2 linked regions of the Schizosaccharomyces pombe genome follow. The gene in region 2 interacts genetically with the main gene of each other region. Each region holds a gene or a part of one and is shown on either strand. Other genes may lie near its edges.

Region 1 (17,904 bases), 2.3 Mb from region 2:
AATTCCCCAAGCAAGCCATTGAACACCACTCATCAACGAAAGCGCAATTATTTGCATACAATACTTTGCAAGAATTACCAAGACACATTGACATATAGTTGATACTTTATGAATCAGATTCATAGTTTTTATAACTTCTATCAAAATTATCAATAATTATTATAATAATCAGATTGTCCCTTAATAAACCTCTTACATGTGATTGCAATTTTTTTTCGATGAAAGGAGTGTTTGGCTGTGGCTAGGATGTTAGTCATCCGTAACAGCAGGCTTTCTTCTTACGAAATGACTAGCACATAGTACTTTAAACAAATTACATATAGCAGAAAAATGTTTTCAAATAATTATAAATTTCTAATTTTAAACTGGTTCAGATTACTAATTTAATACCCGGGGTTTGTAAATTTTTTTTGACTTGATAATGTAAATAAAGACACGTATCATCAATCGAGTCAGATAACCCAATTAGTTATAGAATATGTAATTTACCTTAATTTTTTAATAATCTGATTGATATTATTTTTGATCAATTTATGATTCTGTGCGAATTTGATATTTTCATTAATACATAACGATGTTAGCCAAATCCGAATTTTAAAAGTTGTTTGTAAAGTGTTTGTATACATTCTTTTGATAGAAAGAATTTATCCATCCCCCAGAACGCAACAAACAATATTGGCCAACAATGGTCTCATACAAGTGAGGCCGCGTAGTGAAACGTTTGAAAATCGTATTGTTCCAACTACAATCCCAACAAAAATGTCGAAAATTTGTAAGACTCGATTTTTTATAGATCTCAGTTATTAACAAAGTTAAAAATAGTAAAAATACAATATTTAAAACTATACAATGTTATCTCCTGCTTTCTTTGGATGAGCGTTTTGCTTCGTACAGGATTGATATGGGGAATAACCAAAGATACAGCCGTAGTTTTTCATGAAACAAATACTTTAGTTCGCTGGGTACAAACTCTGGCAATAGCTGAAGTATTCCACAGTATATTTGGACTAGTATCTTCTTCTCCTTTAACAACAATCATTCAAGTTGCATCTCGACTTTACCTTGTTTGGGGTGTGTGCTATCCATTTTCATATGTTATTGAGGGATCTCCTATATACTTAAGTATGATCATCGCTTGGTCCATTACCGAAATAATTCGTTATGCATTTTATGCATTCAACCTGAACGGCGACATCCCTGCTTTCTTAACATGGCTTCGCTATAATACCTTCCTAATCCTCTATCCCATCGGTGCTGGAAGTGAATTTCTTTTAGTATTGAAAAGTAGGATTGCTGCTCAGTACGTCTGGAGTTTGAACAAGCTGCTTTGGCCCATCTTGATGTCTATTTATCCACCTGGTAAGTTGAGTGAAACCCAGCTTTTCTTCCAAAATCTTTATTAACTTTCTAGGTCTTTACATTATGTATACACATATGCTTGCTCAACGTCGAAAGATTTCCAAGCGGGCTGCTGCCAGAAGAACCTAATTTTTTTTTCTAAGCTAAAATAAGTTAGGTTTATTATTCTGTAGTATCGGATATTACATATTATTCAATTTTTTACTTAACTTTTGCATTCGTATAGCATATAAAGATTTATGTTGTAAATATGTATTTTAACAACACAAAATAGTGGTAATAGCATTTGTCACTATAGATAAGTCGAAGGTATCACTCCGATAAACAGCAGCTACATAAACGTACTTCGAAAAGATGTAAAAAGAGCTTATTCACAATATCTCTTACTACTTACAATGCAATGTAGAAACACGTGCGTCCATTAATTTATTGAATATTTAAAAAATCATTACGTTTTTCAACTTTAAAGCAACAGTAGAAATGAATTTTTCATTACTTAAATCACCAAATCTATTATCCTTTTTCATACGGTTCTTTTATCGTCGTCCACGTGTAGGTAAAGGAACACTTCTGCCAGGGCCAACTTTGAACATAGGAGCATTCCTTGTTTAAAAACGTTAAAATTATGATTAAACCAACCACTTAAAAATTCTTACCTAAGCATATCAGGAACGATGAGAAAACGAATGTGTGAACCACGAATGTAAACTTGATCCAAATGAGAAACACGACCATCTCGAGCAGTTACACTGATATCTCTCATTTGACAATTCATATTATCTTCCGCTAATTAGTGTAAGTAAACCATAACAAAATAGAAATCGTTTTAAAATGAATATACCTTCAATTAACTTTCCACGATACGTAGACCCATTTTCCAACTCCATCGTAACGATATGGCCTAAAAATTAGTTTTACTAAAAAAAAATTGGGTAAAAAATCGTACCTTGGGTCTCATGAAGCAACTTAATACACAGAGACATGGTCGATGGTGGTGTACTGTGTGAGTAGCTGGCACTATGAAAAATTCCAGTGTTTAGTTGGTTTGCGCACCACCAACTATTCTTTTTCCATAAAATTGGAATTGAAAGAAGAATAGGTATCTCTTAAACTTATTTATTTATACGGATAATTTTTTTGAAAGTACTTTGTGGACCTTCATTTCGAAAAACAATAGAAAAATCTAAAAAAATGCAGAACACGGCTCTAGACAATTCAGCCGACTCAAAATGTTCCAAATGCGATAATAAGGCAACAGTTCTGACTAAATCAGATGCGGTCTGCGATTCATGCTTTGTCAGAAGAATTGAGAACAAAATTCGTCGGCAATTTGAGCTTGTACGACCCAATTTACAAGGACGCAAATCTAAAAGAGCAATGCTGGCTATTTCCGGTGGTATATCTTCAATGGCAATGCTTGAAACAGCCAATTATTTATCAAAATATCGAGATGATAATTACCGGCCTATGTTTGATGAATTGCTTGCAGTTCATTTTCAGTGGGGAACGGATTCAGCTGTTGCAAAAACGATTGAGGAAAGTATTTCCAAAAATTATCCTAAATGTCCATTCAAAGTTATTGGTGAAGCTGAGTTATTGAACCGTACCATTGCTACAGACTCACGAGGAAATATAGAAATAAACGCAGATAATGAGAAATTTAATCCAGAAGTCATTAGTTCGTTAGCCTCGCGTCAAGATTTACTTTACCGAATTCGGGATAAGCTTTTAGTATCCTATGCCCGGAAGGCAAATTGTGATACCATTGTTTTTGGTGATAGCGGTACTACAATTGCTGCAAGAGTTCTTGAACTTGTGGCAGAGGGTCGAGGTTTTGCGATACCATGGTACACTTCTGTCTGCTCTAAGCTTCCAAATTGCGATACTTTCCTACTACGTCCCCTACGTGAAGTTTTGTCTTCAGACCTCAAGTCGTATATGAACATTAAGGGATTAGCTTTCTGCGATAGCTTAATTGAAGCACGTCCTAATACTATTCATGGCGTTACAGAATCATATTTCTCATCGCTGAATGATACATTCCCAAGTCTGGTTAGCACCGTTGTCAAAATGAGCTCAAAATTGCATGTGCCTTCTACAGAAGCCATATGTACCATCTGTAATCTACCAATGCAAGAAGATGCTGAGACTTGGTTACAAAAAACTACGGTTGAACATCCGGATTCCGTTGAAGGTATTAAGAATCAAAATGTTTGCTATGGCTGTTCTGTTTCTTTAAAAAGCTTAAAAGGGACGTTGCATATTCCTGATATTGAAAAAGAAGGGATTTGATACATCTGTACACTTACTACCTGGTTAACTAGAGTATTTATGGGAAGATAAATTTGGATAGGGTTTTGTATTTCGGACAAAAAGGTTAGACATAATAACATAACGAAAATGATTAAATTGAATTTTCTTTTTTTTGTATGAAATAATAAGTAGTTTGTAGAGGAATCTAAGGGGACTTTTTCTTATAAATTTCATGGGGCTTTGCTTGATCGGAAAATGGACTCCAAATACCACGAACGGATGGGTTTGTTGACTCAACAGGATATTTTATGAGGCGAGGTTTCAAACCATCACTATCTCTGCATAGAATTGCTTTTTGAAATATTGAAGACGCTGACATTTTCCTTGTACAAATGACCTTCTCTCGACCAGTATCTATTATCGTAGCATTAGTAAAAAACACTATTTTAAGGAGTTCATATTTATAAAACTAAGAGGATCACCATAATAAGAGAAAAGTCTTGGACGTACTGTAATAAGCTCGGATTAATGGATGCTTGCCTTGGCGGTTTGTAACATGAAATTCCACATCTTGAGATTCTTTGGCCAAAGACTCAAGCTTTGTGGATAAAAATTCTTTCATGCCTTTTGAGCTTCCACCCCAATTACAATACGAAAACTCAATTCGACGGCACTAAAAAGAAAATTAGTAATACGAAGTTAATGAAGGCCAATCTTTTTTTTTTTTTTTTTTTTAAAAAAAAAGAAAGCTGATTAAATCTTACTGGGCGGGTAAATGAACCTAGTCCATTTTTGGGAATTGAAATTTTAGGAATGATTTCAATCATCATTAAGTGAGTAAAAGGCCGTAAAAAAGGGGATACCGTCTTTTAAAAACCAGAATTCTTAATATGCTATATTGAAAAAAGTTGGGTGAGCAAATCCTTGCAGAAATAATGAAAAGTCGGTATGGAGACGTAAAGGGGTGTGTGGAAATTCGCAAATCCCAAATTGCTCTAAACTTCAATACTTGTTCCAATTGATTTAGAATGTTAAACTTAGTATGCAATTAGTTTTATAAAAAATTTTAGCAACAAAATCAAGTTTACTGTCTACCTACAGTTTCTGGTTACACACTTTGCAATACTTTACCTTTCTGCTCTTCTCTAAATAATGATATCTAGAAAGTTTACAGTGATTTTTTAACGTAGTACATGGACTGCGAACAAACATAATATAGGTTTTTTAAAACGAACAATTTTGATTTAATATCATTCATTTATGCAGAGATATCCTTTTCTGAAAGAGCAAAGTTGTATCGGTTCTTGTACTCGAAGTTCTTCAGCCTAGATATTTGTCAACATAGCAAATTAATACAGTAAGCAACACCACTAATATCATTTCTAAAATAATGGCTGAATTTCTGATTTGAATATCTAAGGAATTTCATTTCATGAAGCTTTATTTATCCCTCCTAAATGAACAGAATAGCAAGAAAATATATTTCACCAGTATAGCATAAGAAACTACTGTGCATTTTGTAATAATTTATTTAATGCATTCTAATACACCTTCGTTCATATACAGTACGATCGACCCTATCCTTATCTTGGCTATATCAAGGTTCAGTATGCCGCACTAGTGCATCAGCCAGCCTATCGATGTTTATTTACTGTCCGCCACTGTATGGAAGTTGTCGTTTCCCTATCCGAATTTAATAAAAATTTTGTAAAGAAATTGATCTAAAGCGTTAGTTACTTAGTCTATACTAGACGGTTCCTTACAAAAAAATTTGACATTTTTCATAGTTGATGTAGATAACTTAGGAAAATCAACAGAATGTCGTTTCGTGTAAAGGGATGGAGTGATCAGTTCTCTGAGTCATTCTATGAGCGAGCAACCACTTTGCTTACGGCTGCTTTAAACAAAGGCACTAAACACTCGATGATTGCAGACCACATCACTGTAAAAGAGTTGGATTTGGGTCCCCAACCTCCTCAACTGGAAATTTTAGAGGTTGGCGACTTAGCGCCAGACCGCTTTCAGGGCCTCTTTAATCTCCATTATTCGGGTGATGCTTCTTTGGTCTTGCAAACAAAAATTCGTGCCAATCCATTATCGGTGCAAAAAAGTAATGTTCCCAGTTTTAGTTCTCGTAATACAATGTTAGCATCTCGTGCACCGCTTACTGTGCCTATGTTTTTACGACTTTCCGACTTAAAGCTTAACGGAATAGTTGTTTTGGTGTTTTCAAAGCAGAAAGGTATCACTGTGGTATTTCGAAACGATCCTTTAGAATCCGTGCGTGTATCTTCCTCCTTTGATTCTATTCCTGCTATTGCTCGCTTTTTACAAAGAGAAATCGAGGTGCAACTGGTCTCCCTGTTTCAGGAAGAACTTCCTTCCATCATATACAAAATGTCAAGAATTTGGTTTGCCAAGTCCGACTCTAATCTATCTTTTCAAAAAATTCCTTTCACTTCTCCTAACCAATCTCATACTTCTCTGGCTAATTATAACCCAGATTTGCTAGATGGTCCTCCCGACTATCATGAATCTACGAAAGTCGACACTCATCTCCCAATTAAAATGGGCCCATTGGATGTCCAAACGCATCCTAACATTCGATCTATTGCTTCTTTAGCCTTATCCAGAAAAGCACTACTTCCTATTTCTTCTCCTTCAATACCTATGTCCATATACCGGTCAACTCCTCCCGATACGATTATACAGCAATTGACTACTCAATCTGATGATATTTCTGCTGTATCTTCCCCTGCAACCCAATATTCCGCATCAGACTATCTTGGTTCAAATGACACCACGGCTAGGCCATCCATTTTTGGTCGTAGTCATGGTACCTCACAATTCCGCCGCCGAGAACGTGTCAAGAAAAGACATGTAATTAAAATTCATGAAGCATCAAACAAGTCTGCTTCCTCTTCCGAAACTTTTGTTGGTTCTAAAAACGTTGACCTTACTGAATCTGCGTTTGATTCCATACCTGATACTCCTACAAAGATTATTACCAACATTAATAAACTTAAAAGGAATTATACCATCACTAACAACTGGTTGGAAAACCTGCAGCAAAAGATTCCGTCCGAGGTTGATAACGGAAAAGTATCTGGCCTTCAGTACAGTGCCTTTAAGTTGCTAATGTTGCAACGTCTCATGGCTGCCAAAGGTTCTTTTTAAGTTAATTTCTGTGAATAACTTTCTCTTTTTTTTTGTTAACCTGCTACTCTTCAAGCATATCTCATGGTTTATTCAGTGAAAATAATTTTTTTTTTTAACGATAGGGTTAGTTCTCTGAATTTCTTTTTACTCCTCAACATTTGGTGTTATTTCCTTTTCCGTGTCAGTTGTTACCCTTTTTATTTAAAACATTAGTATGCTTTTTTCTTACCTGGATATCTTGGTGTTAATTTTATGTTCTCCATTTTAATGAAATAATCACGATTACCATAATTTGAGGCGTTGGAATTTTTTTTTAATAATTAAATAAGCATTTAAATGCTCAACTAGAAAAGTCCTGAGATGTAAGTTAAATCTCATTATCCCGTTTAAAACGGTTACTAGAAAATTTCCATATTTAAGATGTAATCTTCAAATTTACCTGTAATCAATATATAACAAAGAAAACTTAAAAGATTAAAGGATATCTTTGACATTATGATATTCATGAATACATTTTTATATCCACTTTTAAAATAATACTGTTCATACTCTTTCCATCTTATTTAAAAGTATGAAATTTACGGAAACAAAAGTTCGAGATAAATCTTAATTATATTAAAGCATAGGTGCTAACATGATTAACAAGTCTGTTTAAACTAACTTTTAAGGTTAAGATCACTCAATTTTAATGTCATACAGACAAGTATATCGACAGTCGAAATAAAAAATGAAGAGTACCGGGTAACGTGATGCATAAAAATCAGTCGGTATTATGCTAAAAAAATGAAATAATGCAAAAGAAAGGAGCTTCAAAAAATCATTTAAAATGAAATAAAAAAGAATGATTGTAGACACAACAGCCATTAAAATTGGACGGAAAGTAGCAGCAATAGTACTCGGAATAAATGGGACTACTTAAAGCCCTTTTTCAAAAATGCCCGAAATGTTTTGTCCCATGGATGGGCTGGAACACAATAATTTGAAGGAAACATTCCGGTATTTCCAGTAAAAACCCCATCTTCACCCAGTTTCTCCCCAACCCACCAACCTTCATCAATTTCTTTTAAAACTAAAAGAAGATCTCCCTTTTTTAGTTTTAACTCATTTTCTGTTTCTGGCTCAAATGAATATTTCATTCGTACTACCTTTCTGGATGAAATGGAAGCAAGTGGAGATGAATAACTACGATTAAGCTTGCTCGGGGGAGCATCAGAAATGTTGGAAGGTGAAGGGGATACATTACACTGAGACTTCAACTTTTCATCCAATTCTGCCGACGAAGCAGATAATTCCGGTTGTTTAAAACTTAACTGGATATCCTCCTCACTTTGTAACGATGCCGGTTTGACTGGGGTACTTTGAGTCGTAGACAGTTTGGGTTTGGTATGACGGGGGATTGGAGGTGATGAGGGAGTTGTTAAATCTACAGCAGACTGCCCCAATGAATTTTGAGCATCCGAAACATCCTTGTTATAATTATCTTCAGTATGCTGTGTTCTATTTGAAGAAGCTATGGAAGAATTGTCCAGGTCAGCTTCTGTATGGTAAGAAGGGAGTGTATTGGTGGGAGAATGATATTCATTTGAAGAACTATCGGCCTTTAAAGTATCATCCATTTCAAAAATGGTATTCGAGGGCGTTGTTGCAACATTTGTTGAAGAAATATTCGATGGAATAGATCTTGCGGAATAAGTACGCTTTGGAATATTAACGTTATCCCTCTTCTTGGAAAATCCGTTCATCTCAAGTCCCTTTAACAAATCGAGACTTTTTTGATGAAATCGTATTTGCATCTGTAGGAGTCGTACAACGTTTTCGACACGATCAGGCTAAAAATTAGTTAACAAAAATATTGAGTCATATAAGATAAGTTAGGCAGGCCTAATAATCGTTTAATTATGGCATCAAATTGGTAACGAATGTCATTAGGACGATAATACTTACCTCTAATTCTTTCAATTGAACCATTCTGTCTTCAAACTCTTCCAGAGACTCCTCGTATTTTGCGCGAGCATTCCGTAAATCTTCTTCAAGCTTTGACTCTTCTTTTTTGGCCTTCTGTATTTTTGTAGAAAGCGCGTCAAAGACAAGTCGTCGATTTTCCATCTTCTTTTCCTTCACATCTAAAGCCTTAAACTCGGCTAAAGAATTTTCTAGATTTGCCAAAAAAGAATTGTTCAAATAATCCATAAACTCCTCCTGTAGGTGCCCTATTTCAACCATGCTTTTTCCGTACATGATATAAGTGTGCGAATTGCTTGAAGAATGCGATAATGCTTGCCCTAACTCTACAAAAGACGATCCAACGTGAGTAACAGGTAATTGCTTATCTTTCTCGTCGAGCAGGCCCTTTCGTTTATCCATATTCCGTACCCATCTTGTGCAACTTCTATGAATTTTATCCATTCCCACAAGCCAGGCATCCGTTTCACCTTTCAAGGAACAAAAATCATCAGATAATGTAGTCTTCTGACGATCAAAACCAAATTTTTCACCGGTCCATTGTGAAAGCTTTGCAAAATGTTTGTTCATCTTCAAAGGAGAGCTAAGTTCTTGAATCGACAAATAATAAAAGCGAGTCTATTTATTTTTATTTTAGGTTGTAGGATTCAGAATAAGTTAACCAATATAGTAGTAAATAATACATAAAAACAATTTGGTAGTTTGTTTACCTTTGGTGAATGGTTCGTATTACTCCCGAGATTTCAGTAAGGACGGAACTACGTACTGTACCGTAAAACTTCAGACCACTCTTATCTATCTTATGCATTTCCATTTTATTAATAATTGACATTCTTTTTTTTATACAATTGGTATAAAATGGATATCAGCAGTCTAAGATTCAACACATCTTCATCAACAGCAGAGAGTTAACTGCAAGAGAAGAATCCAATTTTTTAATCTTGCCAATGTGTCATTATTTAAAAAAATAGTTAGTTCGATGAACCTTAGCATGCCTCAAATTGTACTCTATTCATTTTATTTAATCACCAAATATACTCAAATGGTGAATTGTGCTAGCTTGATACAACAAAATAACTCTAATTGCATATTTTTATCACTGCTCTTACCGACGACAACTGTAATTTATTAAAAGAATAATTAAAACTAAAAAATGATACGCAAAATAACTGATGAAATAACAATCATGGAAAATAATAAGGTAGTTGCAATAGATGAGCGTTGTATACTAACTGTTCTCAAAGCTCGAGAATCGACAATTTAAGCTGATGAAACATAACCCAAATCTTCTTGTAAGCGAGATCCAATATCTATGCAAGAGTTGATTAACTTACGAGATAATTTCAAATCTTGAATTTTCAAAGTTCCGATGGCCGTCCGCACGTACATGGCCATCTTTTCAACGACATCGTTTTCCTTTGGAGATGTGCAAATAGGAGCAAAAGTGTTCAAAGCGGTCCAGGAAATAATAAAAGATAAAGGTGTAATGTCTGCATCACTATCAGGTACAAAGATTTCCTGATACATACGTTTAGAAACATCCCCGTATCCAAGGCGTTGGAGTGCTAATGATAGGCATGAGTGGAGTGTGAATAGCTTGGATAAGTTGATCTTTAACACGCTTGACTGCTTGCGTTTATCTTGGCTGCATAAATCCAAAGTGTTCTTGTATGCTGCAAGGACTTCATTCAAAGAATCAGCTGTATTCTCGGGGAACAAAACCAATTTAGCTAGTAAAGCATGACGAATAATAGAGGAGTTCTTAGGACAAAGGGAAATAATTTCCTCAATCTCGGATATCTCAACTTTACGGCTCAAACTTTCCATCAAAAGGGCATCCAACAAATCAGCGGCATACCATGAGGCAAGCACCTCTAGAGGAGATAAAACCAAAACATCAGATAAGGAGCTAATAATACTATCTGACATTTGAGCAGAGTCACGGGTGCACTTTGCTAGAACCCACAATCGCTCAACCATATTCGGAGAGAAAACGTCGTCAGCGTGGGAGTTTTCAATTAGGTTAGCAGTACACTCAGGAAGCTCACGTAACTCCGCGTGTACAGAACTTTTGCTATGTTGTTTCTTTGCAGCATTCCAGAAGAAAGCAACGCACTTCGAAACGATAGCGGATGGGACAGAGGTGTTGGAAAAAATTAGTTGGCAATACATTGCTTGTAAAGCACAAGTATGACTTGAAGGAGGAAGAGAAAATGAACTGGCAAATACCATTAAGAGCCTCAAACGGTCAACTTTAGCATCACCACCCATTAATTGGGCATCCAAAAGCTTTTCCATGTTGCGAACTTCAGCAAGTTGTTGCTCACTATAAACCCAATTCTCAGAGGAGGTATAAAGAGCACTCAAACGATGAGTCAAATAGCCATAAGCAGATTTAAGAGTGAAGATCAGTAATCCAAAAAATAGAGAAATAGTCGAAGTAGAATGGTCCAATAAACAATACTTTTCGAATACGGTTTTTCGGAATAAGATTGAGGATGGTGACATGGAAGATCTGGTACTAACTTTAGATTTCTTTTCACCCTTGAAGCCTTTGAAAAGAGAGTTATCGTGCAAAAGATAGAATAAACCGAGTAAAACAACACCAATTTTCAGCATGTTAAAGAGAACAGTACCTGTGAATGGAGACATAAGAAAAGGTGGAAGAGCGAATAAACCATAAACAGATTGAGAAGAATCGTTTCCAAAATAATTGAATAGACCAAGTCCAACCATGCCATTTAGTGCTGTGCGGCCCATGGTATTTAGGGTTGGGGAAGTAAAAGCTCTTTGGGTTAGGTTTGGTCGAGAAGATTGGTGAACAGAATAGTCAGATGAGGAAACAACATTAACAGAGTTAACGGCTCGAGTATCGTTAGAAGGAGGAGCCATCGAAGGATCTTCGTAGAAAGCCAGCCTATCTGAAAGCTGCTTGTTAGTCTTCTGTAGTTCCTTATTCTTGGCCTCCAAATGTCTGATATACTCAGTTGCTTTTGCCAATATTGTACCCTTGTTAAGCTTACGAGCGGGTGTCAAACCCCCCAAATCCTCATCGTCCAGAGAATTACCACAACGAAGTGCAGCAGCAGCACGAAGTGAAGGAACTGCATCACGCAATTCACAAATTCGGTCGTTCAAGTTGGTTCTGTATCTCTTCTCAATCATGTTATGAGCTGTCTTCTTTGGTTTTCCTCCAGGACCGGCTACAAAATCTGGGGTTTCAGAAGGAGATAATGAGCCTCTAGACTTGGGGGCCGAAAAAGGTAATGTTTCAGGAATTGAGCAAGAATCTTCCGAGGAAGGAGACAACTTTATTTTCTTGGCAGAAGGTTCAGGCTTGCAAGTGGTGTCCATGGGTGTAATAATTTCTTCGGTTTTCAATTTGACTTCTGGATTTGACATATCAGCTGAAGGATAATTTTGAACAGTCGATGGATCGATTGTATCAACAGAGTGAAGGATTTTCATTTGGCGCTGAATTTTATCATCGGCATCGAACTCATTCAATGATGGGCCGGTAAAGGTCTCATTCTGAAATGAATTTGGAGAGCCGCAATTAGAGAGAAGAGGATTTGTAGAGTTTTCTAACGAGTTAGGGGAGCCCATGTTGGTCGAAGTAAACAGAGGAGGCGCCGAGTTCATCGTATTGTCGAACGCAAAAGGGTTAAGCCAATTGCTCATTGATGACTCCATATCAGAAAGGGAAAACGAATGGGGAGACAACGAGGTGTTGGTCAAGGTTGGAGGTGAGTCCTCGACAATGCTAGCCAAATCACACAACAGATTGGAACAATTCTCCACAAAGGGAGTAGAAGTTGAAGCCTTTGTCGATGAAGCCAAAGGGGATGAAGAAGGAATCGCACCCACTGAATTGGGTGATTTGCTGTCAGGCGAAGCTTTTGTTGGAGTTTCCATTGCAGGAGAAGCGACCGACACGGAAACTGACGGAATTGAGCTTTGCATATTTAACAAAATTTCCAGCTAGAACCAAGCGGAATTTAACAGCGAGTTAAAAAATCCAACAATAAAGAGAAATTGAATTTAACTCTTAGGGTTTTTTATCTCTGTGACTGTATAGGATGTTGAGCGAATTTTCTAATCGAGCTACAAATTATCCAAAATTTGACGCATTAAAAGCTATCCAAGGCGATAGATAGCAAAATAATTTCTTGAATGAGTTGTAAAATAAAATAATGTTCTTAGCAAGAAGGAAATCCAGCTTGATAATCGTTTAAGATTAGGTTATAGCAAGAGTCGAGCGCAGTAAACAAACTCTCAGCAACAACCCAATTGTTGTCAATGAACTTATAAAGGCTACTGGACGTCCTATAAGTAAAAAAATTTAAAATCGATCACCCGATAAGCAAAGTTAGGATTGCTCGAGTATGGTAATGGATGAAAGAGAAAAGTCGTGTTAATTCATATGTGAGCAAAAAAGAAGTGGACTGACATGTTTTTAACGAAACGTAAGAAAATAGACGGAATGGGGTGATTCGTTAAAGTATGGTGTGAAAAAAATTCCGTGGCGTATCAAAGACATTTTATAAATATTTAGTGTGCTGTAAACTAAGTCTATCGAAATTTGTTTACAAGAAAAAATAGCGTATTTGCGATAATATGTGAAATCGATATATATTAATATACAAATCTATTTGATTAGATGTTTGTTATTCATAAATTGTTTTTTAATAAGTTCAAGTGTAAAACCATTTCAATCCATAACTTTTCCTTGTAGAGTCATTCCAAGTTAAATCGTAGACGCATCACAAAATGCGTGCTTCGCTTTACTCTTTTTTTGTATATTACTTATCCTTAAATATTCCGATCTACAGCACCTTCATTGCTCTCCAATTTACTAATTTGTTCTTCATCATCATCTTCTTCGTCTGAAGAAGATGAAAGTGGTTCAAGCAAGTCCAAATCTTCAAGTTGGAGTCGACTTCGCAATGGGGGCAGGGAAATATCGCAAACTACTTCGGCATTTAGCAAATCATCAACAACCTCATCCAGATATGTTAATCGGATCTCAGAATTAGTACGAATTCTTAATTTCCGATAATCTCTTAACAGCGGTTCCAACGTTTGATGCACTTCCACATCATCCCATGTAAGCCGAACGTAAAATGCAGCCAGGGCACGTAAATACTTGAATTCAGGAATAGATAGGTACTGTTGAATTATTTCTTTTTCAGGTGCAATTTGTAAAAGCTTGTATAACAAACAGATAAACTCGGTGGGCCGTTGATTTCCATACTGACCACCTATATATTCAAGCCGTACTGCACGATCCACCAATGAACAAGCTAAGATGTATTAGTCAGTGAATTTGGAATAACAGTTTGAGGACTGATTAAAACAGCAAGTACCTATACTTGGTTTCTTTGCTTGCCAAATCAAGTTCATTTAGGCTATATCACTCAAAATATCGATTTGGAAAGTAATCGTACTTGAACTCTAATATGTAAAAACACTTTCCTTTTCTGTCAATGAAGAACACATACCATTCAATCCAAAACATTGTTCTTTCCAGTAAATAGAATCTACTATGCGTTCTCTCAAGATTTTTCCTATAAGGAAAGTCGGCAGCATTTCATGCGCCGCCTCACCTTGAGAGCGATAATCTCTAGCAAGAAAATCAGCCATAGTACCTCATGAAGAGAATGATTGCTCCAACCTTGATGTCTTGACTTGGAGTAAGCTTTTAAGGAGCAGTAGTGTACTGACAATATAAGTGGTCAAGTCTGAAGAAGCATGCTGAGTTTTGATTGAGAAAGGGTTATCTAAAAAAAACATGGATTCGTGAAATATGGAGGAAAAGGGAAAATGCCCGTACTCATTGCAATGAAAGAAGAAAAAGTTGATCTACTAAACAATGCACACTGTGTACACAAAGCACATGAAATTCAAGCGATTATGTTGTTTTAAGCTACTCATCGAGATTTGCCAAACGATATATATTAAATTCAAATAAACGCACGGACATATTATTTATTCATTCATTGTCATGTGGAATCGGAAATTTTTTTTTTGTAAATTTATATACCTAAGAACACATTAACCAATTAAGGAAGATGAATAAAAGGATAAAAAGAAAAATCTTAACAATATACAGTATGCTTGAAAAACACTTTACAAATCCAATCCAAAAAAATTTCTTAACTTACTTTGCCCTACTTTACTTCAAATATCTCTTATGCTTTTACAATGGTAATTTTAAAAAACAATGTCTCTATATTCAAACACGTAATTTCAAAACAGTATGAACTCTCATTAAGGGGACAAAAAAATATAATTTTAATGAAGCCCACCGTCTATTCAATCATTTCCATCTTTCAAAAACCACAAATTTAGAGAGTGTTGACAGTGTAGAAGTCCTCAAGAGCGGTAAGAACACGCTTGGTCATGGTCTTCTCACCCTCATGGATCCAGACACGAGGGTCGAACTTCTTCTTGTTGGGCTTGTCAGCTCCCTCGGGGTTACCGACGGGGGTCATAAGGTAGTCCTTGTACTTCAAGACATAGTCACGGACACCCTCGACGTAGGCGAATTGGGTATCAGTGTCAATGTTGACCTTGACGACACCGCACTTGATACCAGTACGGAACTCGTTGACAGAGGAACCGGAACCACCGTGGAAGACGAAGAAAACGGGCTTGTCGTTGGTGGTCTTGAGTTGCTCCTTAACATAGGCTTGGTGTTGACCCAAAAGAGCGGGTTGGAGCTTGACGTTACCGGGCTTGTAGACACCGTGGACGTTACCGAAAGCGGCGGCAATGGAGAAGTAAGGGGTAACGGAGGAGAGCTCACGGTAGACATCCCAGATGTCCTCGGGTTGAGTGTAGAGCTCGGTGTGGGAGACGTGAGAGTTGTCGACACCGTCTTCCTCACCACCAGTGATACCGATCTCCATCTCGATCCAGATCTTCATGGGAACGGCACGCTTGCAGTACTCCTTAACTTGAGCAATGTTCTCCTTCTTGGGCTCCTCGGACAAGTCAAGCATGTGAGAAGAGAAAAGAGGCTCACCGTGAATCTTGAAGTAGGCCTCATCGGCTTCGAACATACCGTCCATCCAGGGGAGAAGCTTCTTGGCGCAGTGGTCAGAGTGCATGACGACGGGGACACCGAAGAAAGGAGCGATGGAACGGATGTAGTGGGCAGCGGCGATGGAACCGGCAATGGAGGCCTTTTGGCCCTCGTTGGAGGATTCCTTACCAGCAAAGAAGTGAGCACCACCGTTGGAGGTTTGCAAGATGATGGGGGAACGAGCCTCACGAGCAGCCTCAAGAGCAGCAATAGCAGTGGAGGAGGAGGTGACGTTAATGGCAGGGATGGCGAATCCGTGCTCACGAGCGTAGGTGAACAACTTTAAAACGTTGTCACCTGTAATAACACCAGTAGGTACAATATCGAGAATTCCCATTTTGCTAATTTGTGTGTGTGTTCTATACGACCTTTGGAAGTATGATACTGCAACAGTAGCGCGCAACCCTCTATTATATACCATGGAGCCGGAGTTGGCCTCGGAAAAACTTCTCACCTGATGTGCATATCGATACCTATCCGGTCCGTGGTTACCACCAATCACCGTCCCCTGTTTTAGGGGTTGACGTCAAAAGAAGTTTTTGATTTCTTCCATTTACCATCCCCAATCCCCCCGATAGCGCTCTGCATCGAAGTACGCAATTCCGTTCAAGAACCGTAACACGTTGCGTGGTGTGTGTCAAGGCAAAAGGAAGCGGCGGCGGCGGTAACCAACTCGTTCACCCGATGCACAAACACAAACAAAAGAAACATTACCAACGTAAACATAAATACAAACCTAAGCATTAAACATTTATAAATACAAACATCTAACCTGCCCTATACTATTCATATGTCTATTTCATTTCTATTCATTTCTTTTCATTAATTTCATTTCATCTCCTCTTGTCTTGTCTCGTCTCGTCTCGCTTCTCCATTCTCCCAGCCATCCCTACTTCCCAGTTTGAGTGATGGATTTTTCTACTCAACCAACTTGAACCAGCCAACTAAACTAATGCATTTCTTTTGTTATCACAGTCTGGCCGTCTCGGTTCGGTTCGATGGTGTTGTGCCCACACACCCCATCTGCATCTTCGGTAGTATTCTTATTTTATAGTTGTCGCCTGGGTCAAATGATCAAGAAATGCAAGGCAATTCTTCTTCCAAGCATGCTTGAATTAGCTTTACCATCAATGTAAGAATAGACACTTTGCACCGCATTTCATCACTGTCTTTACACAAGCAGGTATGTGAAATGAAAAGTATTTTTGGACATATACAAAGTGCACAACTAAGTAGCTCTCTCACGTATTGATGATTTTCCATGCGTCCGACCGGCATTCGTTTACGGGAGTATGAATTTCGTAAGTGGTTTGATTGATTGAATGCTTTATCATTTTTTGGTTATCTAGTACCACTTGTGTTTCGCTTGGCCACGAGTAATATTAGTCCAGCAATGAGGTGAGAGAAGAGATCATCGTTTGTGTACATAACAAGAGGAAGAAACATTGATAAAAAGGAATTGAGAGAGTGGAAGAGGATGAGACTTGACTAGAAGAGTATGAGACTGCAGTCACTGTCAAGTGTTGCTATTGCTGAGACTAGGAGACAAATCATTCTTACTATTATTAACTCTCTTGTTTACTTGGTAAATTTCATTTCATGTCCATCCATTCATTCCATTCCATTCCACATCTCCACCCATCTCACATCATGTCAAGCTAATATTTCTCTGCTCAAAATCGTTGGTCTGCATTGTCCATTCCATCGTCGTGGCATTGCATCTCTGAGTGTATGTGTGGCATTGCATTGGATTGCGTTTTCATGCTCGGTCATGTGTCACTTTGCTTGGAGTTGCGCTTTGCCTTGTTTTGTCGATTCATTTTTTCCATCCAATTTCTTCCTTCGTACATACGCTTTGTTTACGTTTTCGCTGCAGCTCTGGTCAGGTAACGATTTGCAAGGCAACCATTCCTATTTAGCAACCCCGACACGATGACCGATATACCTCGTTACCTAGATGGGCTCGGTTGATGTCAGCGGCACTTGAACCCTTCGCTACGGATAACAATTGGATTACCGCAGGGAAATGGTTGGAACGGATAAACTCTTGTTGTTAGAGATAAGCAAAATCTTGACGAATATTG
Region 2 (15,321 bases):
AGGAAGTCCAATTCTTTTTTTAAGGGTATAAACTTTTGAGATTGCAATTTTGGATGAAAGAATATTTTCGATCAACGATTTGCCGCTGTTACTGTACCACCGAACCCTCGCATAGTCTTTCATAGATATGCTCCTCCGAAAGGTCGTTGTTGATCTGCTTATAAACGACATGGTATTTTTAGTTACAATTAATTATAAACTGTATGTATGCAGCATACAATAGTCGTTAAGGTGGTTATTAAACAGGTTGAGGTAAAATAGGCGGAAGATAACTTTTAAGAAGTGGGTACGCGTTCCAGAAATTCAAAACGAATTTTGGCTAATTGTCTTTAACATTGGGATTAGTTTATTAAGAAAAATCTACTATAAACAAAACAAATACAAATTTTTTAGTAAATCCATCCTAGTTTAGTTGCATGAACCTCATGGATACAAACCATAAACTTCTGAACATTAAAATTAGTGTTGTTGTCTTCCTAATTTACAATATAAAAAAAAAAATAATTATAAACAACATCTTTAATTTTAATCCACATGTTAGAATAGTTATGAACGAAAAAAAAAACATTTCATAAATTATTAAAAATACTAACAGAATCAGCAACTTCCCACAAACGTTAAGTGTCTCGTGACATTAGCAAGGCCGGCTTGCAAATGCTAACAAAATAATTGGGTAGATATTAAATAGTTAAAACACAATGGAAGCACATATTTCTTATTCAAGAACGAATGATAAGCCCTAAAGTGGTCTTATAACAATCCCGACAACCATGACATGCTAGCAAACGGTATCGCAGCTATATATACATATATATATGCACATCAACATAGGGCTAATAAACAAGAAGTACTAATTTTAACATCCGATGGTCCCCGATCTTTTTCTCTGTAAATTTTTTCTTTTGCGACGTAAAATTCTGTCCATCTCATCGGAATTTCTGATTTGGTAAAAATCACGAAAGATTTCACTTCCATAGCCGACTAGTGCAACGTAATTACCTAGAACAATGGCTACGCATCTATCAGAGACTGCAAGAGAAGGTCCAGGGTCTGCAATAATTAAAGAATTATACATCTTTAAAGATTTGCAGCGGTGCTTCTTTTCAGATTGAGAGTACATCCAAACTTCCCATACCTGGGTTTCACCACCACTATGCGTATTTTTTTTGTGTTCCATGTCTTGCATATAAGAATCTAGAAGGGGTACATAAGACGTCCAATTGTAATGGCCAGTTCGCAACTTTCGGTTACGAAGAGTAAAACCATTATCTTCGTTTTTCTCATCTGCTGTTGGACAAATCCCCGATGAACTTTTTCTTCGCATGCCAAATATGTAGAGTCCATCTGAGCTCATTACACATTCACTAGCATCTTCGACTTCATGGATATTTTCTTGTAGTTCATCAAAGGTCAAGCAAGCCAGCGAATTATCAGGATCGTGTACGTCCACAAGATTTGGCTGTTGATCCCATTTATTCAATATAATATAAGACTCATTACATTCATTACCGTAGTAATAATAAAGAACCTTTTCGGTAACAGCGTGAGTAAAACAAAACGATATTGATGACACTCTAAACTGTCCATTAACAAATCGACTGTTACTCACGCCAACTGAAAAAGTGTTTACTTTTATCGGCGGCAGTGTAAAGGAATGTAATAGTTCATCGTTTTTAAGGTCAATCATGTCGACACCACTATCTCGAGCAAGAAACAAAATGTCCGCCATTGCAATTCCATAAATATCTTTTTTTGTTTCTGTTAGATAATTTTTGTTTTGAGATAAAATCTTTGGGGACCAGACGGGTCCTTTTTTAGAATATACAGTCACTTCACCGGATTCAGTCAAACAAGCAATTCTATTAGCCGTGGGTGAAACGATACTTATTGATTTAATAATCGGAGAACTTAATTGAAACTTTTCAACCAAAGCTATATCTGCACCTTCAATTTCAATAGTCAGACTAAAAACCTGAATTTCGCCTGAGCTTTCAACAACCACTAGCTCAAAGTTTTTCCATTCATCATCTTTATGCGTACCCGGCATCCAGAACACGTTTAATTTGCTATTTGGCTTACAGTGATAGGAATGTTGAAGCATCAAGCAAGGAGATTCTACATTCAGAATGAATAAAGTATCCTTTGAGAACAACGAAACGTAGTTTCCCTGAGGATCTAAAGCTATTGCTTTTAACGTCCTGGGCATTTGTTCTTTTGAAAGTACAAGCTTTGTACACCATTGACGTAAATCCCAAACTACAAGACACCTATCTAACCCGACGGAGGCAAACGTCTTATAGTTTTCAGATACAGCAATTTTTAAAATGTCAAGCTGATGATGAACAGGAACGGGTTCTATTCTGAATTTTTCCTCATGTAATGTTGTATCGGTTGAAAGCTCGTCATGGTCAGACCAGCCTCGCAAAAGTGCTTTAACAAGCAACCCAACCGCAAAATCAATTGCGAACAGTATGCTGAAAAATGTTGACCATCTCCATACTCTCCGGTCATGAAACGAGTTGTAGACATTAGTGTAATCACGACGGTTAACAGTGTCAAGAATAACTGGTCGATACAAAGCAATAACAAGGTTTTCCGCCATCGTCTTCTCTTTTAATGCTTCTAAAAAAGTGGGGTCACCAAACCAACCGGTCGTAATCAGTGGAAATAACTTTCGTTCTCGTAAAATACGGCCTAAACGATGATATAACGTAATGAGAAAGCGAATGTTAGGAGATGCTAATCTCCAAGACCCATTGATATCTGTACTGGATTGGAGTTGTAAATAAATAACGTACATATGAAATGAAACAGTACCAAGATTATCGATAATCCATGGAGACCACATGAATCTTACGTATTCTAGATACGGAACCCACCATTTTGAGTTTCGATTAGAAGAGTTTGAATCTAAAAAATCTTGCAACTCCAAACGACGTATATCGACACTTAGGACCGCTAGAAAAAAACTTCCATGCAGTAAAAAACTAACGACGAAAGAACAGGCAAGAAACAAACAAAACTCCTGCACCAGAGGATAAACAAAGAAGCTCAAGACAAAAAGAGTCAATAACTTCTTAAGTAAGGATGAAAAGGAGGCAATAATAGTACTAGAAAACCCTTCCATTATACGAGAAGGAACACGCTTCGTCTGAGGAGAAGCGATTACTGCGCGTAAAAGTCGAAATCTGATAAGTTAGTAATAAAACGTTCACATAATGACGAAGTATAGCAAAAAAACTTACGAGTTTTCAATGTCCATAAATATGATAATATAGTAAGCCATAGGCCATGGACATATGGGGCCCGTTCTTTCAAAGAAATACAGCAAAGAACAGGTAGAGAAGTAGGCAGTACCGCTTTGAATAAATATAGTCGCTGTAAGACCAAATTTAGCACGAATATCATGCAACCGCACAAGTGACAAATACAAATATGCAAAAAGTCCGACTCCAAACCCAACCCATAGGTACCATCTGTAAATAACAGTAAGGTCAGGAATACGTGCTACGACAGTGGTAGGGGATGTATCAAGTAAACTTGCATATAGATTAGGAGTTTCGGAAATAAATTTCTTTAAAACAACATGAAAAGTATCGACTTGTTCAGGCTTTAAAAAGTAAGTAATCACAAAAGCACTAAGCGAGTCAAAACCTTCGGCTATTGTATCATTCCTAAGCTTGTTCACTTCACGCTCATTTTCAGGAAGCCCTTTAGTATATGAATATTGAGCTACAGGATCAACCTTACCATAATATTTTGGTATTGGAGAAATAGTTACACAGGATTTTTCATCTCTTATGCAAGGATACCCGTATTCCGCCAAATATTGATGGAAGCTTGTTTCCCAACGATACGCGTTTGAAAGATAGTCTTCGGAAAACACTGATGTGTTCGTTCCTAAAAGATAGAGTTGTTTCGTAATAACATTTGCTTCAGCATTGATGCTCTCGGCATACCAAGCCGACCATCTAGCTAATGATTGATCGTAAAGGGATTGCTGATACGCTACCAACGACGAATATATACCTGTGATTGATAAAAGAGTAAACACAAGAATGAAATACCAAGGATTATTGGCAATACAGTAGCTGTACTTGGCAAATAATGAAGGGTTAACTTGCCGAGCATACCCTCGTGAAATTCGGCCTTTTCCAAGAGTAAAAATCCTCATAACGATATTTTCAGTTCAATAACATTGGTAAACGTTCATTAATTAGATCTTTACAAGACCGATATACCCAATTCACTGAGAATCAGTTTTCGCAGGTCTTGGTGTTTTGTACATTCCTTCGGGACCCGACAAATTTAAATTCGGGCACACGGCGTGCAATTTCCGTACACTATTATTAATAGAGAATTATTTAATCTGAAACCAAAAGTTTCAAAAAAATGTTATAAAATAAGGAAATAAAAATTCAAATATATAATTATTGTTGGTTCCAACATTCTGCCGATACTAGCCGTATCTCAACAATATTTCCCAACGGACAACACTAATTAGCAAACTGCGGCAAGCTGCAGCAAAAAGGTCGGAATTATAATTCGTTAAAGATATGTAAATACCAATGCTATCGAAAGTATATTTATATTCAGAATTTAATTTTATAGAAAGAAGTTAGTTATTTATGGCTACCCATCGCCTCAATGAAACTAAAGATGATTTAATTACTAAAACTCTGCCAAGCATATTGCTTTTTTTCTGGATTTTTCTAAATGAGAAGGTTAAGCTGCGTAAATAATTCTTTGTTGCCTTTATAAATCGATATTCATGGCCGATGACATTTCAGCTGTAACTTGAACAGCGACATCCTTCAACTGTAAGTGATATTCTGCTACAATTGCATCTAGAGTAAGTAATTTTTGTGGAAGAAAGTTAGGGTCAGGTTCCTTGTCCACGGACATGTCTGTCACAAGAATCCATGTATCTTCTTTCGGAAGCAACTCCAGAGTGTTCAAAACAATCAAATAATGTTCTATTATAAAAGTTCTCTCCTTTTTTCCAATTAATTCTGTAGTAGAGATATACCGGCTCAGTTTTTCATAAATAATTGCTGCTGCGTCTCGATAGTTTTGATGTTTATACCGCCAACTAAACAAAATATTATACCAGCATGGTTGTGATTCAACGTTAATCATTTGAAAGGCCTTTCGCTCAAGCAAATTGTCGACGTCCTGTCTTAACGTTGGCATTGAATAATTTAGAAGCTGATTTATTTTACCTTGTTTCGTTAATTGATTTACAAAGTCTAGTAAACATGACTTTTTCAAAGGCGTAGTGGATAAAACCATCAATGCAACGTGAGCAGCGTCAAACTTTCCTGCTGCACAAGCGGTTTTTAAAGTCTCATGGGTAATTGCAATAGACAAATCTTCGTCGTCAGTCTCTTTCGAGGCATCTGCTAATAAAGAAAATTCTAATGCATCTATATATGCACTCTCCTCGAACAGCTTTTTTGATAGATGAAGGTAATAACACGATAATAGGTTCTGATGGTGGTATTTTTCAGCAATTTCTTGAAACTCCCGTAAAACTGCGAATTGAGAAGTATGTGAGTAAAGGACTAGAGAAGTAGTCTTGAAACATCGGACAGCCTTAACAGCTTCTTTCGATTTGAGATAAATAAGTGCTTTCAAGTAGACTGCAATTGGGTCAGAGTTAAGCCACCCTATTAATTGCATACATGCATTATATTGTTTGAATAGAAACAACTTTTCTACAAGTTCAGTGACCAGATCATTTTCCGTATCGTCCCTTATAAAGATTGCCGACAAAGACGATATCACGGTAGCATGTAAAGGTGAAATTTGGCTTTCTGAGAAACATTCGGAATAATTCAAAGCGGAAAAAAACTGAAGGGCTGTGTTAACACTTGCTAAAGCTTCCATAGTATTTAAATTACAGTTTGTTGAATCAACATCCTCCTCCTCAAATTTTTCTAGCAAAAGTGCAGAATTCTCTAAAAGAAAACTCACAAGACGCCAATCTTCTAGTAAAGAAAGAAATAATTTATCACATCCTGCAAATTTGGATTGTAACTCATAATCCTGCTGGCTAGTTATCAAAGAAAGTAGAAAAATAAATCCTTCAATAGAGACTTGAAACTTTTTCAAAATACTGTCCAAAACCCGTGCTACCGATGCACACAAAAATAAGGAAGGGGATTGAGCGGAATGGTTGTAAATATCGAAACTTCTTAAGCGTTGGATAAGAGAATCAATGTCGCGCATCGGGTTTTCAAGAGAAACTAGAGTATCAATTAAAGTACTGATATAATCTGGATCGACGTTGGGATATATGTGCTTGTCATAAAATACCCACAATGTATCAAATAAAGAATAAGATGGCAAATCCTGGACTAGTTCTCGTAATGAGTATCTAATTTCAGATAAAGTAGAAAATGACATACAGGAATGTAAACTCCTACCAAGATCCAGAATTTGATAACCTTCAATTAGAGAAGGATCATCTGTTTCAAGGGAACTAATTAATTTGGTCAACGGCTCTTCGTCAAAGGATTCAATGAGATAAGGATCCCTAATAAAAGCCACTTTATTTGCATAATTGATATATGTAACAGCGTTCGAAGGATCGAAGTTAATACTTAATATTTCATCTCCAAAATGATCCAGATATGCAACAAGTTTCGCAAACCTTTCCCATTCATTATATAATAGCCGCTTATATTCATAATAATCGTATCCAGTTAAATCTGAATTTGGCTCTATTTGGATCGTTGAAACTATAGACGACAAAACGGCATTTTTAAGTTCACTTATAGTAAGTGCGCCAAATTTATCCAGTTTATTTTTTGAAACTTGCGAGGAGCTGTTTTGAAAGCTTAAAAGAGCAACTTGTATAGACTCAATAGATGTATTATGTGCAAAAATGTGTTGTAGCCAAATCTCTGAGATATCCCCAGACGACATGTTTGTTGGAACGTCAAAAAAGGTTTTTTCTATGAGGGAAAAGCTATCCAAAGAGTGACTCCAAACGCATGAAAAACTCTCGTCCTGATCTAGACTAAGGTTGCATTTTTGGATAACGGTATTTAAGTTGCTTTTCCAAGCAATAATGAGCAAAAATTTAGATTGAGAGCCCTCTGACGATATCAGTTGAAAATCAGAAAGCATCCATGGTATGAACTCATCGTCTGGTAAAGAAGGAGGAATTATGCCCTTCTCGATGACAACATTTAATTTAAAAGAGTGGGCGTTTGCGTTAAGTTTGTAAATTGAAAAAGAGCCATGAGAATTATCTGGGTAATACAGAGCGATGAAAGAATTAGTGGTGTGATCTGAAGTTAAATAAGGAAAGGATTGTAGAGGAAGTATAGTCTGTGACAGTTCAATGGTTTCGACGCATTGATTAGTAGACAAATCCAAAACTTTTAACTTATAGTCAAGCGATAGCATCACAAGAACATTATAGGTAGACAAAAAAATCATTGAAATAATAGTATTAGGAGAGCGGTAATCTGCCTTAAATGCCTGAAGTGATAGATATTTTTTTAGGGAAAACAAATAACTAGAATCATCAATATGCTGTTCGTAGTGACTAGCGTCTTTTGGATTTAATATAATCTTTGTTAAACCTCCATTGAAAAAGCTTACACAAATTTCAGACGTGCTAATTGCGGCCATTAAATCGGGTTTTTGATTCAGAAAGGATATTGGTCGGTAACAAAGACACCAATCGTCGTCTAAGCGAGCGTCCGGTAATTGGAACCAAGTTTTAGATAATCTAATATAATACAAAACGCGAGCGTGAGTAATAGCATATATAATGGTCGTGTCGGAATGCTCACTGAACGAGAAAGCTACACCGTCCTTCATTACGTTGGATGGAAAATGAATTTTCACATTAAATTTTGATAAAGGCTCCTTCTTAGAATTTAATGAAACATCAAAGATAGTGAGTGTTCTGTTTTGGAATATACTCCATCGTAAAGTTTGTGAACCTTTGCTTTTATTTGAGGTATAAACACCTGCATCATATGCTACACATTCCTTTTTAAAAAGTTTTTCATTATCATCAGCTGTTTCTATAGCTTCAGAATCGTCTTCCGAGTCGTTTTCGAGAGCTGGAACCCACAACGCCAAAGTTCCTTCCAGACAAAAAGATTGTAAGTCTATCGGAACTACCGCATGCTTTAATTCATTCATATTTTGATTTTATTTTTTACTGGTAGCGGTAATACCAGTAGAAATACCAAACAAATAGCTAACAATAGGGGGCAGTTCTGGTTGAGTATCGTAGACAACGACCTACACGAGTTAGCGTAAGACAGGCCAGTCCTACAACGAATTTATGAGAAACGCGTAAATACGAGTATATTTGTAATTCTTTAGCTTTTTAGGGTAGAGGGAGATGGAATGTAAAACTGAATTTTCTTCTTGAAGATTAAGTTCCTTAATAAAATAGAATCATTTGATTGTGGATGAAGAAAGCTAAACAATTTGATAGTTTTTATTAATCGAGCAATTCCTTTGTATTCATAATAATAAAAAAGGAATCAAATATTCATTTAAAACTCAAGAGCTTAAATGGATTCTCTATTTTATTTGTGAAATTACATACAACAGTAAAAGATCTTCAAGATATCAGAAGCCTTTCTTAGATTATTGTTAGTTTTTTTTATTATTTTTTGTATACCTGTAACTTTTTAGCTGTTGTTTTAAGAGATTAAATCTATTTAAATTAACAGTACTCATCTTTAGGGTCTTAATTTACAGCCTTTCAATCTTTTTTAATAAAATAGTTTTCTAATTTTCTAGTTTTGTTTATTTTTAAATTTTGCAAATTCTTAGTAAATAAAACATGTAATATTTTCAACCATACGTTAAATTGTAAATTACATTTTAATAAATATTAATTACGTGCAAGGGTGAATTATTGTTCATTGGCATGCAATTTATAATTTATTTTTTTTATTGCAGATACAACCAATTCTAAGTCTAATAGCCAAGATCTCTTATACCTGATTCAATATTACAATTGCGGTGATATGTGCTTGTACGAACACCCGCAACTTTATAGTAATTAAGCGGTAGTACATACACTGGTATCACGATAAAGAATTAGCTAAAGTAGAAGATTGTAGCAATGGCATCAATTGTGATAAAGACATTTTCTGGATGTGATCCACCGGTCTATGCTAGAATTAAAGGATCGACAATAAATATCCAGAAGAAGAATTAACCAAATGGGTTGAAATTATCTCTAATAGCTAAAAATCTATTCATTTAAAACTGAAAGAGAATTAAAGGAGTAGGAGTACCAAAAGGTAAAAATAATCCAAAGATATTAATTTTGACTATAAATCATCACAAAATTTAGTAGCATACAACATAAGTAAAAAAGAACATTAAATAATTCTAGATATATTTGATAAATTCCCCTTATTCTCTACTAGCTATGGGTGTGAGAGTTTTGTAAGTTCGAATTCAATCTATCCGATATAAATCTCTTAGAGATTGGGTGTTAACTAATAGGTAAATCCCTGAATTTGACTTTAGTCTATGACACACTCGTCAAGTTATGACTATTTCATTTATGTACTTAACTTCTCTATCTCATAAACATAAGCACCAATTTGGAATATACTGAATTAACGAAACAGAGCGTAGGCAATTTGACTTCTATTACGTTACTGTATGTTTACAAGTTAGAAAGTCCTAACTTGTGGCTATAATACTTTGCAGTGATGCTTATGAAATCGCGAGTAAACTTATTGTTTAAAGGACCATTTTTCTTTCGAGAACGTTGTTTTCAAACACTCTTAAATCCTGTGATCGCAATTCGACAGCTATCGCATGGATCGCTTAGAAATTCTCGATCATGTAGAATTGATGCGAAATCGAATACATTAACGAAAGAAATATTTCCCAAAATAAATAATGAATTCAAAATCAAAAATCGATTTTATAGCTCAAAGCTTGCGAACGACCAATTCACGCTTCAAGAGCAATGTGACGAGAAGGGAATCCCTTTTATTTTATACGTGAAAGATTCAGCGAAAAAACAGTTAGAAAAAATTGCAGAAAGGAAACCAGAAGAAAACTCTGTTTTGCGCGTCACTGTCGATGGTGGTGGATGCCATGGATATCAAGTATCTTTTCGCATGGACAACAAAATTGGAAATGCTGACACGTAAGTGATGTGGTTAAGAAGACTATAAGTTTTAATTAAGTATTTCCTGGTTATTGACTAAATATCTAGGGTATTTGTGCGTGGAAAAGCCAGGGTTGTTGCTGACAACATTTCATTACCTTTGATAAGTGGCTCTGAAATTGAGTATACAAATGAACTTATTGGTTCCTCTTTTCAACTTTTAAACAATCCACGTGCCAAGACTTCTTGTGGTTGTAATGTCAGTTTTGATGTTGAATGAGATTTATACTTAAAATAATACATTTCTCTTATAATCACTTTTCTATTTATCAAATATAGTTTAACAAAAACTCTGCTTACAATTTTTTGCTAGTATGCCAGTAAGTAAACCAAAAGATACAAATATAAAAGTGTCATCAGTCAAATCGATCGAGTTGTTGACTAATTGAAATTATTGCTCAAAAAATATAATTAAATATTAATAGTCTATTCTCCAATGATCTTTCTAACACGACGGAGGATACTGTCCTTTTCAGGATCATAAGGATCGTCTTTGCTAGGAATTTCCAATACAGCAGGGAATGCCTGCACATGGTTTTCAATACGATCACGTATTCTTTCAGCGGCAAACTGGTTAATCAATACAATCGCAATATCCTTCCTTTTCGTAGTATAATCATCAAAAGCTTCAGCAATCTGCTCATCTGTAGTCTCTACATAAAACAGCAAGTTAGCGAAAACACGATTCCATTTTTTAACAGATAATCTTACTCTGAGTAATTATAAAAAAGTTTTTGTCACCGTTTTCATTTACCTGACCAGTTCCAGCTAAAAGCATCCCAGTAACGGTATCATCGTCTCCAATTACAGAAACAAGTGTCCGTTCTCGATATGATTGTGAAGACATGATTTAGAGAGATAAGTATTTAGAAAATCTAGGTAAACGTCCAAGCAGGAAAATAGGAGAGTATGGTGCTACTTGAAAGCGCAACTTCTGGACTAGTAGGCGATTAAAAGTGTTCAGTGGTTGAATCGTAAATTTTCACAAAGCTTAGATAAATATTTAACAGAAAGCTATGGCTCTGCCTCTACAATCCTCAAATGTATTCCTGAGTTTAAGTAGTGATGGTGGATGAAAGTGTAAGGTCCAATACCGATAAGACATATCTGACACTTAACTAAGGTACCTTTTATTATGAAGACTTCTGTAATTAAGAATATGATATTATTATAATAGGAATTTGTGAAAATTCGACTCCCATAAATTGTTCAACAAATATCATTATGCAAATAAACTGATGAATGTAAAAATAATAAGATGGCCCAGATGACACAAATAGGATTATTTTAAAACTTAAATTATAATATTCAATTATTTTACTTTCAAAGGCTGCGAAGTAAGTACTTCGATATAATCCAATGCCGTAAAGCATACCAAGAAGGATATAAATATAGATGAGAAATCAGTTAATTATTATCTGTTGAGAATGAAGCTGAAAAGAATAAATTAATAATTGATAAGCATATGAGCCGTTGTTGGCTTCCAGTGTTGAGCAAATTCGAAATTTGGGTTGCTTTCCTACATGCATGTTCAAACCTACAATCAATTTGTTACATATCGAAATAGAAGCTTTAATTTGAGAAAAAAGTGTCATTTATATATTTTTTGAATCAGCTTCCATCTCAAAGTCCATACCTCATTTAACGAAACATAACGAATTTTTAAGTTGATGAAATTGATATTTGTAAAATTTAACAGTGCTAAGTTCACAACACCATTTGTCTATAGTGTGACACAGTTGTCTTTTACCACAAAGCTCTCACTGAAACAATGCTTGGGCTTGGAAGAGTATTTTCATCCGCTGTACGTCCTCGGACGCTTATTCGAGCACCCATTAATAAACGCAGTTTCCTTTGGTACTCAACTGAGGCTGCTAAGGAAGAAAAGCCTGCTGAAGAAAAAGTTGCCGAAACAGAGAATGTTGATGTTAAGGAACTTCAATCTAAGCTTTCTGAGCTTAAAAGTAAATATGAAGCAAAGGACAAAGAGGTTGCGGAGTTAAAGGGTAGCATTCGCCAAAGCTTAGCTGACTATCGTAATTTGGAAAACCGCATGAAGAGAGACATGGAGCAAACACGTGCATTTGCTGTTCAAAAGCTTACTAAGGATCTTTTGGATTCTGTCGATAATTTGGAGCGTGCTCTTTCAATTGTTCCAGAGGAGAAGCGTAACAATCGTGAGTCCAACAAGGATTTAGTTGATCTTTATGAAGGTTTAGCAATGACTGAATCGAACTTAATGAAAACCTTAGGAAAATATGGTTTAGTTCGCTATGACGGTATCGGAGAAGATTTTGATCCTAACATCCATGAAGCTGTTTTCCAAATCCCTGTTGAAGGTAAAAAGCCCAACACTGTCTTCCATTGCGAAAGCAAGGGTTTTCAATTGAATGGAAGAGTTATTCGTCCTGCCAAGGTTGGTGTTGTTAAGGGAGACGACTAGAGGAGCTAGTCAAAGATGATAGCAAGGAGCATACGAATACGTCGTTTCACCTATATTATTTTAATGACCAATTCGGGGTTTTTTTTTATTTTTAAACTCTCAATGTTTGTCTGGAAAGTCCTTTGTGGTATTATTGGATTTTTTCAGTCTTTTCAGGGGAACCAGAAGTCTTTCTGTGCAGATGCTTTTTTCTGCAAACTAATAGTCAAAGACAGATCGTAAAAAGTTTCATTGCATTTTTTGGGCTATGGGTACATTATTATATTTTTACCGAGGGGACTTGAATCCAATGTTTTTGTGTGGTTTGGGTTTATTGTTTAGTGATTTGCTATCACAACATAGTACCTATTTTTACTTACATTTATAAATAAAATTTTTACTCTTTAATACTATAGCTTTCACCCAAACTGGTTAAAGAATTTTGATATTTCCTTCTAAAGATTACTCAAAAGCATTTCTTTAAGAGTTAAAAGTGGAACCAAGTGGAAGGTATGTATTCTATCATTTAGTTTTATAGAATATTAAAGTTCCGAAAGTTGATATGTGCTTTAACGGTTAAGCCTCCTTTTCAAGTATTCGTAGAAGTTAAGCTAGTGTTCTGTATTACAAATTAGTAAGGAATTTTGACTAGTTTAGATGATTTTTTTGTTTTTTATAAAATAGATATGTAATAACAAACTTGCTAATAAAGTATTGATTGGAAGCAGCTAGCCTGTTCGAACTAAGCCATAGTATAAGACATTACTCAATCAGCCTAATCTAATAGATAGATATTCAAAGTTACAAATGATAAGCATGAGATCGTTTGTGGGTGATCCCGTTGCTTTTAACTTTATTAAGAATCTAGTCAATGAATAGTTTTTAATCCAGCACTGATATCGTCAGAATTGCATATTCGAGAGATATATTCATTTTTTCCAGCTCAGTAATTACACTATTACTAAATAAACTCACTTCTTAGCGATACACTACCGCAAGGGTTTACGTCTTTATTTAGATCAAGAAATGGTGCCTTGCATACTACTCGAACGTGGTGTAAAATTTACCCTTACACAATAAGTGTTGCTTGGCAACACGTTTTGCTTTCTTTCCTTCTATAGAGTTTTCAATAACAGGAAAGATAAAAAAAGGGGATCTATCACCCTGAGATCTATCGAGTAATTTAGAATTGGGTCATTTGCTAAATTGCATCTACTTTTGTCTTATCGACACTGAATCTTTTGAAATTCTGATTTAAAATTGAACATTTTTTTATTTTTCTATAACTGTTGATATATTAAGAAATAGTTGCTTCAAGAACCTTCAGGTATTGGCTTTTAAGACTAGCTGTTGAGTTCGAAGAAAAGCCTAGCTATGTCTTCTTTAGCCAGTCTTATAAAGACGAAGCTAAAACTTCCTGATTCCTCAAAAAACTTAAACAAATTACGATGGAAGTTTCGACTTCTTGAATCTCAATTTGCCCTCTACAGTTTGCCCTGTCAACTTCGATTTGTCCACTATAATAACTTGGAAGACCCTAATTCATTTAATGGTCTGCTTTATTTATTTACTGATTATATAGCTTTTCAAGGTGATGATGAGTCTAATCAATTTTGTATGCCATATACTATAATTCGAAAAGTTAGTCGAGTGAAAAGCAATGATCTTGAGCAATTGTTGTCGGTATCGACAAGCAATGGTTACGAATACAGAATATCTCTGCAGGTTTCTGAAACCACTGCTGCACATTTTTGCCAATTACTGAGAGAAGAGCTTGTATCTCACAAAGCTGATATGCAGCGGTCCTCCGAGTTTAGCAAACAGTTCTTTTCTGAACGCCTTTGCAAACCCAATGTTCCCGAACCAGAAACTAAAGATTCTTATGGATTCGGTGCTCGATATGGTTATCCCACCGATCCTCGAATCTCTAGAGAACGGGCAAAGCTACGAATGTGGAAAGAGTATTTTTTACTTTATGGTGCAAATCTTTCGTTAATCAGAGTTTCTCTCTTCTCCAAATTGGTCCGAATTGAATTGCCCAATAAACTTCGTGGTGAAATATGGGAGCTTACATCAGGCTCCATGTACTTTCGTTTAGAGAATTCAGATGAATATGATCATCTTCTTAAAGTGTATTCTGGTCAAACATCTTTTTCTTTAGAGGAAATAGAAAAGGATTTAGGTAGAAGTCTTCCAGAATATCCTGCTTATCAAAATGAAGAAGGTATCAACGCTTTGCGAAATGTTTTAGTAGCCTTTTCTTGGAAAAACCAAGAGGTTGGTTATTGTCAGGCAATGAATATTGTTGCAGCTGCTCTTTTAATTCATTGCACCGAGGAACAAACCTTTTTTCTGATGCATAAGATTTGTGAAGATTACATTCCGGGTTATTACTCAAAGACGATGTACGGCACTCTAATTGATCAACAAGTTTACGAAAGTTTGGTTCAACGCTCAATGCCTAACTTACATGCGCATTTTGTAAGCAAAGACATTCAACTTAGCATCATTTCTTTGCCGTGGTTTTTGTCGCTTTTCCTTTGCACAATGCCTTTACCGTATGCGTTTAGGTTGTTAGACTTTTTCTTTCTAGAGGGTCCAAGGGTTTTGTTTCAAATTGGAATGGCTATCCTATATGACAACGAAGCTGAAATTATGAAGGCTACAGAAGACACTATGTTGATATCAATTTTAAAAAATTATTTTTCATCATTGGGAGATAAGG

Evidence for each region.
Region 1: of scp1 (region 2) and sre1, extra expression of one rescues a mutant of the other (dosage rescue), as found in Schizosaccharomyces pombe (2 studies listed by BioGRID).

Annotation. Positions count from the first base shown.
Region 1 is NC_003423.3:1,686,620-1,704,523, reverse strand, and holds sre1 (transcription factor Sre1), read right to left. Parts: upstream 13,131-17,904; 5' UTR 12,697-13,130; coding exon 9,994-12,696; 3' UTR 9,833-9,993; downstream 1-9,832. Other genes in the region: palmitoyltransferase Pfa3, read right to left, coding at 1-123; phosphoprotein phosphatase Phs1, read left to right, coding at 760-772, 823-1,359, 1,412-1,488; Sm snRNP core protein Smd3, read right to left, coding at 1,896-1,962, 2,016-2,145, 2,201-2,260, 2,306-2,342; cytosolic thiouridylase subunit Ctu2, read left to right, coding at 2,551-3,651; mrpl51 (mitochondrial 54S ribosomal protein mL43), read right to left, coding at 3,818-4,026, 4,123-4,285, 4,377-4,442; protein Mdm34, read left to right, coding at 5,431-6,789; SPOM_SPBC19C2.10 (BAR adaptor protein ), read right to left, coding at 7,683-8,600, 8,716-9,303; U4/U5/U6 small nuclear ribonucleoprotein complex subunit PRP38, read right to left, coding at 13,546-14,036, 14,235-14,376; fructose-bisphosphate aldolase Fba1, read right to left, coding at 15,081-16,157; protein mug124, read left to right, coding at 17,319-17,756.
Region 2 is NC_003423.3:4,010,602-4,025,922, forward strand, and holds scp1 (Sre1 cleavage-activating protein Scap Scp1), read right to left. Parts: upstream 4,284-15,321; 5' UTR 4,175-4,283; coding exon 3,246-4,174; intron 3,189-3,245; coding exon 857-3,188; 3' UTR 547-856; downstream 1-546. Other genes in the region: mrpl3 (mitochondrial 54S ribosomal protein mL44), read right to left, coding at 1-171; nucleoporin, WD repeat Nup120, read right to left, coding at 4,756-8,166; Fe-sulfur protein Isa2, read left to right, coding at 9,708-10,153, 10,223-10,394; vma7 (V-type ATPase V1 subunit F), read right to left, coding at 10,601-10,827, 10,886-11,021; GrpE domain-containing chaperone mge1, read left to right, coding at 11,946-12,617; SPOM_SPBC215.01 (GTPase-activating protein), read left to right, coding at 13,971-15,321. UniProt on the Schizosaccharomyces pombe protein: Escort protein required for sre1 processing at low sterol as well as oxygen levels.